Linked DNA regions of Arabidopsis thaliana. The protein of the gene in region 3 interacts with the protein of the main gene of each other region in a pairwise test. Each region holds a gene or a part of one and is shown on either strand. Other genes may lie near its edges. The genes, in order: GDU2, GDU3 and LUL2.

Region 1 (3,116 bases), on a different chromosome or scaffold from region 3:
AAAACTGAACGAGCCACCTTTAAAAGTAATTAGATGAAGAAATAAACACAATTTGAAAAACTACATGAAAGCTAATCTCTGACTTGAGAAGTTGAGATATTTGGAACCTTTGTTAATTCTTTCAACACCGAAAACGATTTCTTAGGAAATTTCAAAAGAAATAAAAGTAAAGAGGGCAAGTATTCTGATTGTTAACCAAGCACAAAATGAAGCACCCATCAATCAATCTTTTCAACAATCAACATACCGATTCTAATTGGTCTGGCAGAATAATTACCGGAAAGGAAGAAGAATAGAACTCCAATATTTAATTATCGTACTTAATCTGTTTGTTCGAGAAACTAAATAATGGGTTCCTAGGTATATGTATTTATTTTATACATTATCTTCACATGTAACGTGCCTATTTAACGAGAATATGATTCCCTATGATTCATGCACAAACACAAATCAAATCCGGAATTTAAGTCGGATCAGGGAATAAATTATACAGCCCACACACATAATAATTTAAAACTAATATATACACAGTGAGGGGATTTAAAAGTAAAACTTATCTCCAAAGATTAATGTAAGCGACTAGTGATTGTGTTGGCATATTAACCGCACATAACATTGTTTGGGGGTTTGGATGCTTTAAAAAAGGTTCTGCCTTAGAAATTCCTTTTAGTTGACGTAATGATATATTATTGCTTACTGTAATACTAGTGGACACATTAAACAATGATCTTAAAGTACGAATGAAGAAATTAAAGAAAATGGAAGAGGAAGAATGTGGAAATGGAGAACGTAAGTGAAAGTGATTGGAAACTAATGGAATATCCGTTTTTCCTTTAGTCATGGTGGAAGCTGACGCTGAGAACCTACCCCTCCAATTGCACTACTCGCTCTATTACTTTATCTAACCAGAAGTTTTTTAAATACCCTTTACTGTATATAGTTCTTACAGTTTTATACATATTGTTAAGAACTCCATATATAGTGTATAAATGGCATTGAAAATAGTTTTGAGTTGAAACTCCTAAATGATATTAAATCTTGAGTTTAACCTAATTAAGCAAAGTAATAAAAACTGATTAGCCAAAACAAAGAGGTTAGTTAGTTCAACAGTTAGGTTAATGTGCAAATTGCCGTAACAAGATTATTAAATAATTCTTAACTTTAATTAACCTCTATCCATTATTGCATTTAAAAGATACTATTAATTAAAAGCCACCAATAAAAATTTAAACTTTATTAAAGTACTAAAGACGGATATATTAAACAAAACAATTATGAAAAAAATAAGAAAACCAACTTAATACAAGTTCAAATTAACATCCAAAAGAAGGAAATATACATGATTTTACAAATGTCTTCATTGAGCCACCACGTTAAACTAATATCATTTTTGAGGTTGATTAAAAAATTATTCATGTAAGTATAAATGCAAAAAAAAACTACATCTCTATATCAAAAACCAATCAATTGTTTACTCCATTATGGAAGATGATTCCCTAAAAAATAATTTCGTTAATACTCACTCTACAAAGTACAAATAATGAATACTGACTTTTTTCATACATTCCAAAAAAATACTGAAAACTGAACCATACACAAATCCATTGCATTAAGAAACAATCCATCCCATACGTTCCTCTATAAAACGCCTCTCACAACACAATCTCATCTCCCACCAATAAATTAATTACTTTTTTAACAAAGAAAACTTTCATTTCATTCACTCTTCCCAAACAGTAAAACACACATGCAGACAATGGAAGGACGACAATATAATTACCAAGACAGCATAAACGCGAGCTCCTCCATGGTGGTGCCTCACTCGCCTTGGCACTCTCCGGTTCCTTATCTCTTCGGTGGTTTGGCCGCCATGTTGGCTCTCATCTGCGTCGCTCTTCTCATCCTCGCATGTTCCTACTGGAGACTCTCCGGCTCCGCTGAGAGAGATCTTGAGGCCGGAGATGATGCCAAACCCGACAATGACACCAACAAAACTAAGCACACAGAAATGCCGGAGAAGTTTCTCGTCATAATGGCCGGTGATGTCAGACCTACTTACTTGGCTACGCCAGCGACTCGGTCTGAGCAAAGCTGTACTTGCGGCGATCATAACGAAGAAGAAGGAAGAAGAGGGTAGTGATCAGGTGGTATAGCAGAGCACCGGAGGTTACGGTGAGCCCTCCCTCATATTTTGAAAACAGAGCATTCGTTACGGAGTACTCCGGAATCGATCCGTCCGGTCTTTTTGTGTCGGTTCATAATTACGCCAACCTTACGTGAGCTGATGGGATATAAATTAGAGTTTTATTTATTTCGTATGGTTTTAGTTTTTTTTTGGTTGTCTCAGTTTTCTTCAAATTTTTCCCGTTTATGGTTCATGAAGGAATATCCGGTACATGTAAATTTTAAGAGTTTGAATAGATGATTGTTTTGGACTAGCGATTAAAGATAGAACTGAAGCTTGACAGACAAAATAAATAAAAGATACAACTAAAATCGTGCGTCCTTAATTCAGTTTTCGTGTATAGAGAGACAAAAATGTTTTCCCAGTGAGAGATGTACAGACATGATGCTTACGAAAGAGGGAAAGAGATGTGTTGTGAAAACTTCTAGTGATGTGCCAACAATGACGCATGCCGAATATTAAGCTAATTCGTTGTGGCGAACCGAAGTTGAGAATTATTCTCTTTGTACCTTTATTCCTAAATTTCTAGATATATTACTAAATATCATCAAGTTTTATCAAAGAACAAATAGCCTCTCAACTATACATTTCTCTCTTTTTTTCTTTTCCAGGCATATCCATTTATCATTGTTTACCATTCACTGAAATTGAAAGCATTATCGTTTATCGTTGGACAATAAATTGTCGTCTTTTGGATGATCAGTACAATGTGAACAGTGACACATATAATGGATGGAGACTACTGCAACTAACTGAATAATTGTTTTTCTAGTATGGGCAATTGGTCACTGGTTGTGTCATGTGTTTACGTCCTTTCGTTTTCTTGTCCAATTCCTACTATGTTTATTATGTGAACGTGTCAAAACAAACGAGCTCGCAAATGATGCCAATAAAACTGGAAAACCAACAATAATTGTGGAAAAATCGACAT
Region 2 (3,747 bases), on a different chromosome or scaffold from region 3:
ATCAATGTTGGCCCAAAGTTTGTGTAAGGAACAAAGTGAATATATAACCACAATGGGCCTCTTACCAAAAAAACTACAGTGGGCCCAAATAAAACCCACCATTAGCCAACTTTATTTTCTCGACCCATAACCAATCCAAAAACATTTTTACATCGAACATCTTGATTACAAGTCTACGCAGCTCAACATATATCGTTAAATTGATAAAAATACTCTGTTTTGATAAAACAAAACTATTTGTTATGCAACAAAGAAGAAGAGGCAAAAGATTGACGGTTATTCATCAAAGTCTAGTTTCTGAACTCGAATATTCACTATTAATAGTTGGTAATCCATTTTCATTAGATGAATGTATAAATAAAGAATCCATAGCTTTAAAGTAATATAAAAAAAAAGAAACCTAGCTAGGGCTACAGCCTACAAGATAAGATTGAAAGGGAAAAAAGAAAAGAGACCTAGTGCAGTTAAAAGTCATTTTCGAAACTTATAAAATATTTTCCTGATAAGAATTATGCTATAGGAGATTAATTACACGATTAGGGTCGTTGATTGAAGCTAATTTTAACTGCTTCACCTCGCCGCATCAATTTAGAGACACCTAAGAGAAATTAAATCAGACATTCTTCTGCATGTGCCTTCACACGTGCCTGTAGTCCTCACTTCAATTTTCTCACCTGAAGAATCTTTTGATATTTTCTCTGTTTTCTTTTTTGTTCGGACCACAATTGTCACATTAATCCCACGAAAAAACATGTACTGGAACAGTACAATTTTTTCATCATTTAATCACCTTTTTTTTTTGGTGAATTTTTAAAATAATCAAGATATTTTCATTGAAGTCTCAGATAGTTATTTGTTTTTTCATTCTCAATTCCATAAATCACAAATTTCACATTCAAAGTCTCAGAAATTTACATTTTATCCCTCATCATGACCTAGATATGGCACAAAACTTACAAAAAAAAAAAAAACGAATTAACGATGCAAAAGGCAAAAGCTAAGATTTTTTAAATACATCATTGATCAGAACAACTCCTAATAATTCAATCCCAATTCCAATTTTTTCCAATATTACTCATCATCAAGTAGAGTTATGATCCAACCCGAATACCCGACGCAACCGGGTCAGATGCTGCAAACAGTTCTTCAGAACTGTTCACAATAAGACGATCCTCTGTTTTTCTCTTCCCTTCCTCTGGTTTTGTCAATGTGTCTCACCGTTACTTTCACTACTCCGCGGCACCACCTGATCACTTCCCTCCACGTCATCATCTTCATCGTCATCATCGTCACAAGTACACGTTTTTACCGACGGCGTTGCTAAGTAAGTAGGTTTGACATTTCCGGCCATAATCACCAAGAACTTCTCCGGCAAAGCTACAGGCTTCACCGCCGTTTTGTCAGGTTTCACATCTCCGACTTCAAGATCTCTCTCTCTGCTCTGGTTTTCCTCGCCGTCTAGATAACCGGAGAGACGCCAGTAAGAGCAAGCGAGGATTAGAAGAGCAAAAGCTATGAGACCAAGCATCGCTGCTAAACCACCAAAGAGATAAGGAACCGGTGAATGCCACGGTGAGTGAGGTCCTCCTCCCATGGTGGTTCTGTTTCCTTCAACGTTTTCTCTCGGAGGGTAATATTGTCTTCCTTCCATTTTTTTTTCACAAAGATGGTTTTGAGTTTTGAGTTTTTTTTTTTTTTAGGAAAATGTTTTGGTGTGAGGAGGAAGATGAGTGAGGAAGGGTTTTATAGAAGAGAAGAAGCGAATTAACGTTGTGGATTGTGTGTGACGTATCAATTTTTAATTTTATTATTTTGCGTATGAGATTCTTTTTACTTCTGATTTATGGAAATTTTTCTTATTTATTTATGTATTTGTATGTAATGAGTGAGTTGGAGAAAAAAGCAATATGAATTCAGTTTTTATGTTTCTCAGTTATCATGAATGATTATATGGAGTCGTGACGTGAGTGCATAACTTATGTTATGTCTTATTTTTGCCGTTTGCTAAAGTAATCGAGATGGTGTGTACAAAAGGATTAACCACTGAATATATATATAATTTGTAAATGAAAAAATAAACATTTAACAAGTTTTCCTATGATTTCCAAACATATTTTTAAGAGAAAATTCTTAATTCAATGGTAAACTTTTTTTTTTGGCTGTTGAGATTTACCATACTCATTTTTTTTTGTCCGTTTTGAGTCGCTTACCAACATAAAAGATAACTAACATATCTACTTTTTTCTTTCTAGAGTAATGTGTGTATGTGTTTTACTTAGAAGTTTACATAAATAATCGACGTTCACATTCACAGCAATAGCATTTTAAAAATGATTGGTAACATTTATAATCTCAGCAAGGTTAAGGGTTTATATATTTCAAAAATTGAAACTACATGCTTTACAGAGGAATGTTATGTATAGTTAGCAAGCCGTGTAATGATGAGCTTCTGTTGGTTTAGGTGCCGGTGATTAGTTGGGACCCAATTAATGTGGTCTGTTTCTTAATCAGTATTCCTTACTACTTTTTAAGCTTAATCAGTGGATAATTTCAAAAAATATCTTCGATTCTATCATACTCCAAGGAATTATAATATTAGTAATCATTTATTGTAACACTTAAACACTGTTTTAGATAATTAACAACCATTCACATAGTGTCGAATCCACTCGAATAAAATATAGTATGACTTTACAGAAAATATCTGCTGAGTGGTTATACTCTCTACTAGTACAGCGTAAGATCAACATCTACTTGGCTAATAATTATTTTTCTAATTTACAGTGGAAAAGTGAGACATGAAAACATAAGAGTCATGAAAATGATGAATTTTTTAACTAGAACAAAAAAACCAATGATTGATGGCTAATAGATAAAGAAACACTCTGAAGAAGAAAGAGGGTTTAAAAGAGGCAATTAAAAGGGGAATAAGATAAGGACAAGAGACTGACCAAAAACGGTTCCGTTAAAGCCGCTAAAATTTAGGTGAGCGATGCAAACGTGAAGAGATAGCCGGAAACGTAATAACCGTTAACGCCAAACAAGTAAAGTGAACGTTACCTAAAACAACTAAAATTACATGTTTGTTTAAATCTTCTTACTTCGAGTTCCACTATACATATTTATAACCAACTTTATTGTATCTCCAACATATTGATATATATGCAAGATATGCATGATTGTTAAAGAGCAAATGAATTCGTATGAGACCTTGAAACTCGGCAAAGCAAGAACAACAAGACTCACACTCGCTCTCAATAATTTTTCATGCTGTATTCATATACATAATTAATTAACTACTATATATAGACAATTTTTTCACATATATACAGCATAAAAAATAATTATGATAGGTATATATATATATATATATATATATATATGTTATCATATTTCATCGTGAACTGTGAACACATAAATATAAATGAAAAAACAGACGGTAGCCCACCACCACCATAAATTGCTTTTAACAAGTGACTATTGATTTTATCATATATAAAAAAATCCACTATGCACCAAAATCATCATTCTAACAAGAACATACCAAATTTTACGTTTTTAAAATATTTTAATGATATATTAGAGGAGTACAGAAAATTTTATATATCATCAAAAAGGAAAGTGGGAAACCCCAATGAAAAAAAGCTGGAAACAACATACCAAACCATATGCCTGAGGTCTCAATTATCTCATCAATGATAATTTTAAAAATTATAGATGAGATAACAAAAATGGTCCCATGTTTTT
Region 3 (3,847 bases):
TAAAAAGTATGAGTTATCTGATGGTTTGGTGTTCAGACTGTGGATGGATCATCTTCTGATCTGATGATGCATCTGTTTTCACTGCCACAGGATACACATGTGTCTCACTTACCTCGACCAAATCTGCCTCTGATAGAGAGGAGAAATCAAATTCAGTTCCACAAGCCTGCTTGAATCTCTCTGCCCAACCTTTTGGAAAACTAAGTTGAGTGGATGGGGAAACAGATCCTCCTTTGTCACAATAAAGTCACAGCCTTGGCCTTTGATCAGATCATATTGTAACACATATCCTGCCACTGGCAAGATTAGCCTTCCCAGTTTTCTTTGCGGACCAGTAGTAAATGCTTTATCTAGACGGTTTTGGTTGTTAATAAAAATGAAGAACTTTTTGAGACTTTAACCAATCAAATAGCATAAACGAGGGATGATTTGATACGAGGAGTGTGTGACATTTGTCACTTCATCCCTCGTGTCTACTATCCGATTGGCTATACTCTCTAAAAGTGCTGCTGCTGGTACTGCAAAAGTTGTTCACTTCATTAACAACGAAGACCGCTAGACAAAGTAGCATGATGATTTACAAAACACTTGGAAGTAAAACCCGGAATTTAAGTGTCATTTGGCATATGTAAGTTAGTAACTTGAGTTCTAATGCCTGCATATATACCGATACCACAAACAAGAACATTGGGAAGCAGTCTTTATATAAAAACAGGAGAAGAGTAACGTAGCAAGGCTCACTAGTTCCTGTCGTTGTTGTTCACTGTTATCTCCAAAAGCCTATCCACCGGTTGTCTACAGATGGGGCAGAGGTTTGTCTGAAACCTCAAAAGCTTTGCACAACCGCTACACATACACTACGAATCACAAAAACAAATATCAAAGTTAGCTATCAATCAAGAAAAAAGCCGTCTTCTTTCTCAAACTCTCTCTTAAGGATATTTATCTGCTTACCATGTGCCTGCAAGGGAGAACAGTGGTATCCCGTGGCTCAGATAAGCAGATGACGCATTCTTTTCCTCTTTCATTCGCATCTTCTCCATTATCATCAACTGTATTACCAATCCCATAAATCTCTTGAAGAACATACCTATTCCCATTCACCCACAGGATCTGCTTCACCACTCTCGCCTTGTACTCACCCTTATGATCTTTCTCTAAAACCACATGAGTTATCTGTCTGTTTGGTGTCCCAGACTCAGGATGATCATCTTCTGATACTACCTCTGCTTTCACTGCCACATGATACACATCTGTCTCGTTTGCCTCAACCAAATCTGCCTCTGACATATCTGAGAAATCAATCCCTGTCCCACAAGCCTGCTTGAATCTCTGTTCCAGACCTTTTGCAAAACTAACTTGAGTGGATGGAAAAAGATCCTCCTTTGTCGCAATAAGGTTACAGTCTTTGCCTTCTTTAGCAAAGAACATTACAGTGATGCTGTTGAATCAAAAACCATAAGAACTGAGCATCGATCAAACCTTCAACATCTAGCAATCACACAGTGAAAAGATGTCGAGCTGTATAAAACATTGATCATTACCTTCCAGGAACAGAGGCGTCAAAAGTGAAGGAGAGCAAAAACTTGCCAGGGTTCTGTTCATCAGGCTCAAGTCTCAAAGTTTCTTTCTTCAGATTGATGTCGTTCCTTATAGTCACTGCTTCCTGATGCTCTACGTATTGCACTGGAGACGCCATCTCTCCATACGGATACCTAGCACAATCTTGGTACGGCGACGGATAATTGCCTTGGTACTGAGCATTAGGGTTTGGATACGGCGGCGAAGTACGGTCCCGATGATTTTCCGGGCGGCTTCCACCGCTTATGACATTGCCCATGATCCAACTTTGCGAAATTGAAATTGCAAATCGATTACAAAAAGATGAAAGAGAGTGGGAGGAAGATGATCAGAAAAGCAGGTCAACTAACTTTGTGGGCTAAGATACAGGGCCACACGTATCGGCCCATATAAAATACCAGTTTTACCCTATATTTATTTCAACTCAAAACGATTACTTGCGCTCGAAGATTCTGTTGATCTCCTCTCTCCGCTGATAGCTCCATCTTTCTCTAAAGCTTCTCTCTTGTGTTACAGGTTCGATAATAAACAAGGTCGGATTTACCTGATCAAACGTTTGTAATGTGGGACAAACGTCGGAGGGGAGACACAACTTTTCAGGCATGTCCATTTCCTCCAAAATTTCCAGCACGGTGGCTCTGGCCAGAAGACTTACGAGAAGGTGTGTTTTGTCCTCTCACTCACAGGTGAAATAATTTACCAGCACAACAAGTTTTTCTCCTTCTTCTTTTTGTTTCCCACACAGATGCAACGGGTTCAGGAAGGTCTCGTCTACGGTTAATGAACAGAGGAAGCTTCGGGAGACGTGTATTAGATGGGGTGAATATGCCTTTTCTTGTACATTATGCGATGTTGTTTGCCAAATCTTTGAATTGTCCGCCAAGCATCTCCAGAGTAAACAACATAAATCGTTCGTAAGCATCCCAGCCTATTGTATCACTACATTCGTCATTTTCTTACTACTGTATGAGGTCCCTTTAGAAACTTTCTCGATATCAAATCTGATCTACTGGGTTTGTGACACTCAGCTCTTCCCGAGAGGTTCAAAACTCCATCAATTCTTTGAATGGTGCAGTAGTATCATCATTTCTCTTCTTCGCATAACAATTTATTCGATTAGTACTTCTTACAGTAAATGATCAAACATCTAACACATGTTTTACTTTCGTAATTAAAGGATTTGGATGGTAGGCAGTCTCAGAGGCTGAGGCTAGGCCACCAAGAGGCCAATTTTGAGCGGCCACACCTCTTCACGTTCTCATAAAAAATGCAGATTCTGAAGGGTAAGACTCTCAATCCTCAGCCAAGTTCGAGCATTTCCTATATGATTCATAATTGTCAAGTAACAAACGACTAAGTATGTTGAATCTTGAATGTAACAGTTTCTGTGAGCCTTTGAGGCATATGGGGTTAATGGACAATGGCGGTTTCAGAGAGTAACTAAAACTTACTGCTGGTGCACGCTAGGCTTTATCCGCCTGAGATGTATGAAGACATAAAGGAATGGTCTTTTCTAGAAAGATAATGATTGCGTTAAAGCAGAGACATGTGTTTCTCCAAAATCCTGCTTATTCACTGAGCATCTTGAGGAGGACGTAAACAAGACCAAGAACATGGCCCCATGGTGTTGTTATTCTCTAAGGAAACTAACTTTAGTACTAGTATTAATGTAAACACAACGCATAAGAACCTCTTTGATTTCATTGATTATAATTCCAATCACTCGTTTAAAAGCGAAAGAAAAAACAATTACACCGAAGGAAAATTCACAAAAGAGCAAGTGGAAAACACAAATATAAGAAAGGGAAATGAAAACTGCAAGTGACTGATTTAGATTTGTACAGAGAGATCACAACTTCATTTATTCTTGAGAAATCTGGTTTGATGTGTTTAGACGTTGGCAGCACTTCTGAATGATCCAAGAGACTTAGAACCTGAAGCTCTCAGAACGAATTGGTGGTAGAATGCAGCTATCGCAGCTCCAATGAATGGTCCAACCCAAAATATCCACTGTTTGTAATCACCAAAATTTCAAAACATTATTCCCTTGTAAAAATGAAAAATATAGTTGAATGTAATGGAGAAACGTTGAGGTCTTACGTGGTCATCCCATGGCTTGCTCTTGTTGTAGATTACGGCAGCTCCGAAACTCCTTGCCGGGTTAATTCCGGTTCCGGTAATGGGAATGGTAGCCAAATGTACCATGAACACGGCAAATCCGATTGGAAGTGGCGCCAACACCTTTTATTTCATCAAAATTCAAATT

Evidence for each region.
Region 1: the proteins of LUL2 (region 3) and GDU2 interact in a two-hybrid assay, tested with the Arabidopsis thaliana proteins (one study listed by BioGRID).
Region 2: the proteins of LUL2 (region 3) and GDU3 interact in a two-hybrid assay, tested with the Arabidopsis thaliana proteins (one study listed by BioGRID).

Annotation. Positions count from the first base shown.
Region 1 is NC_003075.7:13,114,402-13,117,517, forward strand, and holds GDU2 (glutamine dumper 2), read left to right. Parts: upstream 1-1,626; 5' UTR 1,627-1,747; coding exon 1,748-2,137; 3' UTR 2,138-2,554; downstream 2,555-3,116. UniProt on the Arabidopsis thaliana protein: Probable subunit of an amino acid transporter involved in the regulation of the amino acid metabolism. Stimulates amino acid export by activating nonselective amino acid facilitators.
Region 2 is NC_003076.8:23,365,152-23,368,898, forward strand, and holds GDU3 (glutamine dumper 3), read right to left. Parts: upstream 1,913-3,747; 5' UTR 1,652-1,912; coding exon 1,205-1,651; 3' UTR 654-1,204; downstream 1-653. UniProt on the Arabidopsis thaliana protein: Probable subunit of an amino acid transporter involved in the regulation of the amino acid metabolism. Stimulates amino acid export by activating nonselective amino acid facilitators.
Region 3 is NC_003074.8:19,800,435-19,804,281, forward strand, and holds LUL2 (RING/U-box superfamily protein), read right to left. Parts: upstream 1,895-3,847; 5' UTR 1,841-1,894; coding exon 1,545-1,840; intron 1,442-1,544; coding exon 955-1,441; intron 858-954; coding exon 741-857; 3' UTR 517-740; downstream 1-516. Other genes in the region: PIP2A (plasma membrane intrinsic protein 2A), read right to left, coding at 3,472-3,591, 3,682-3,822.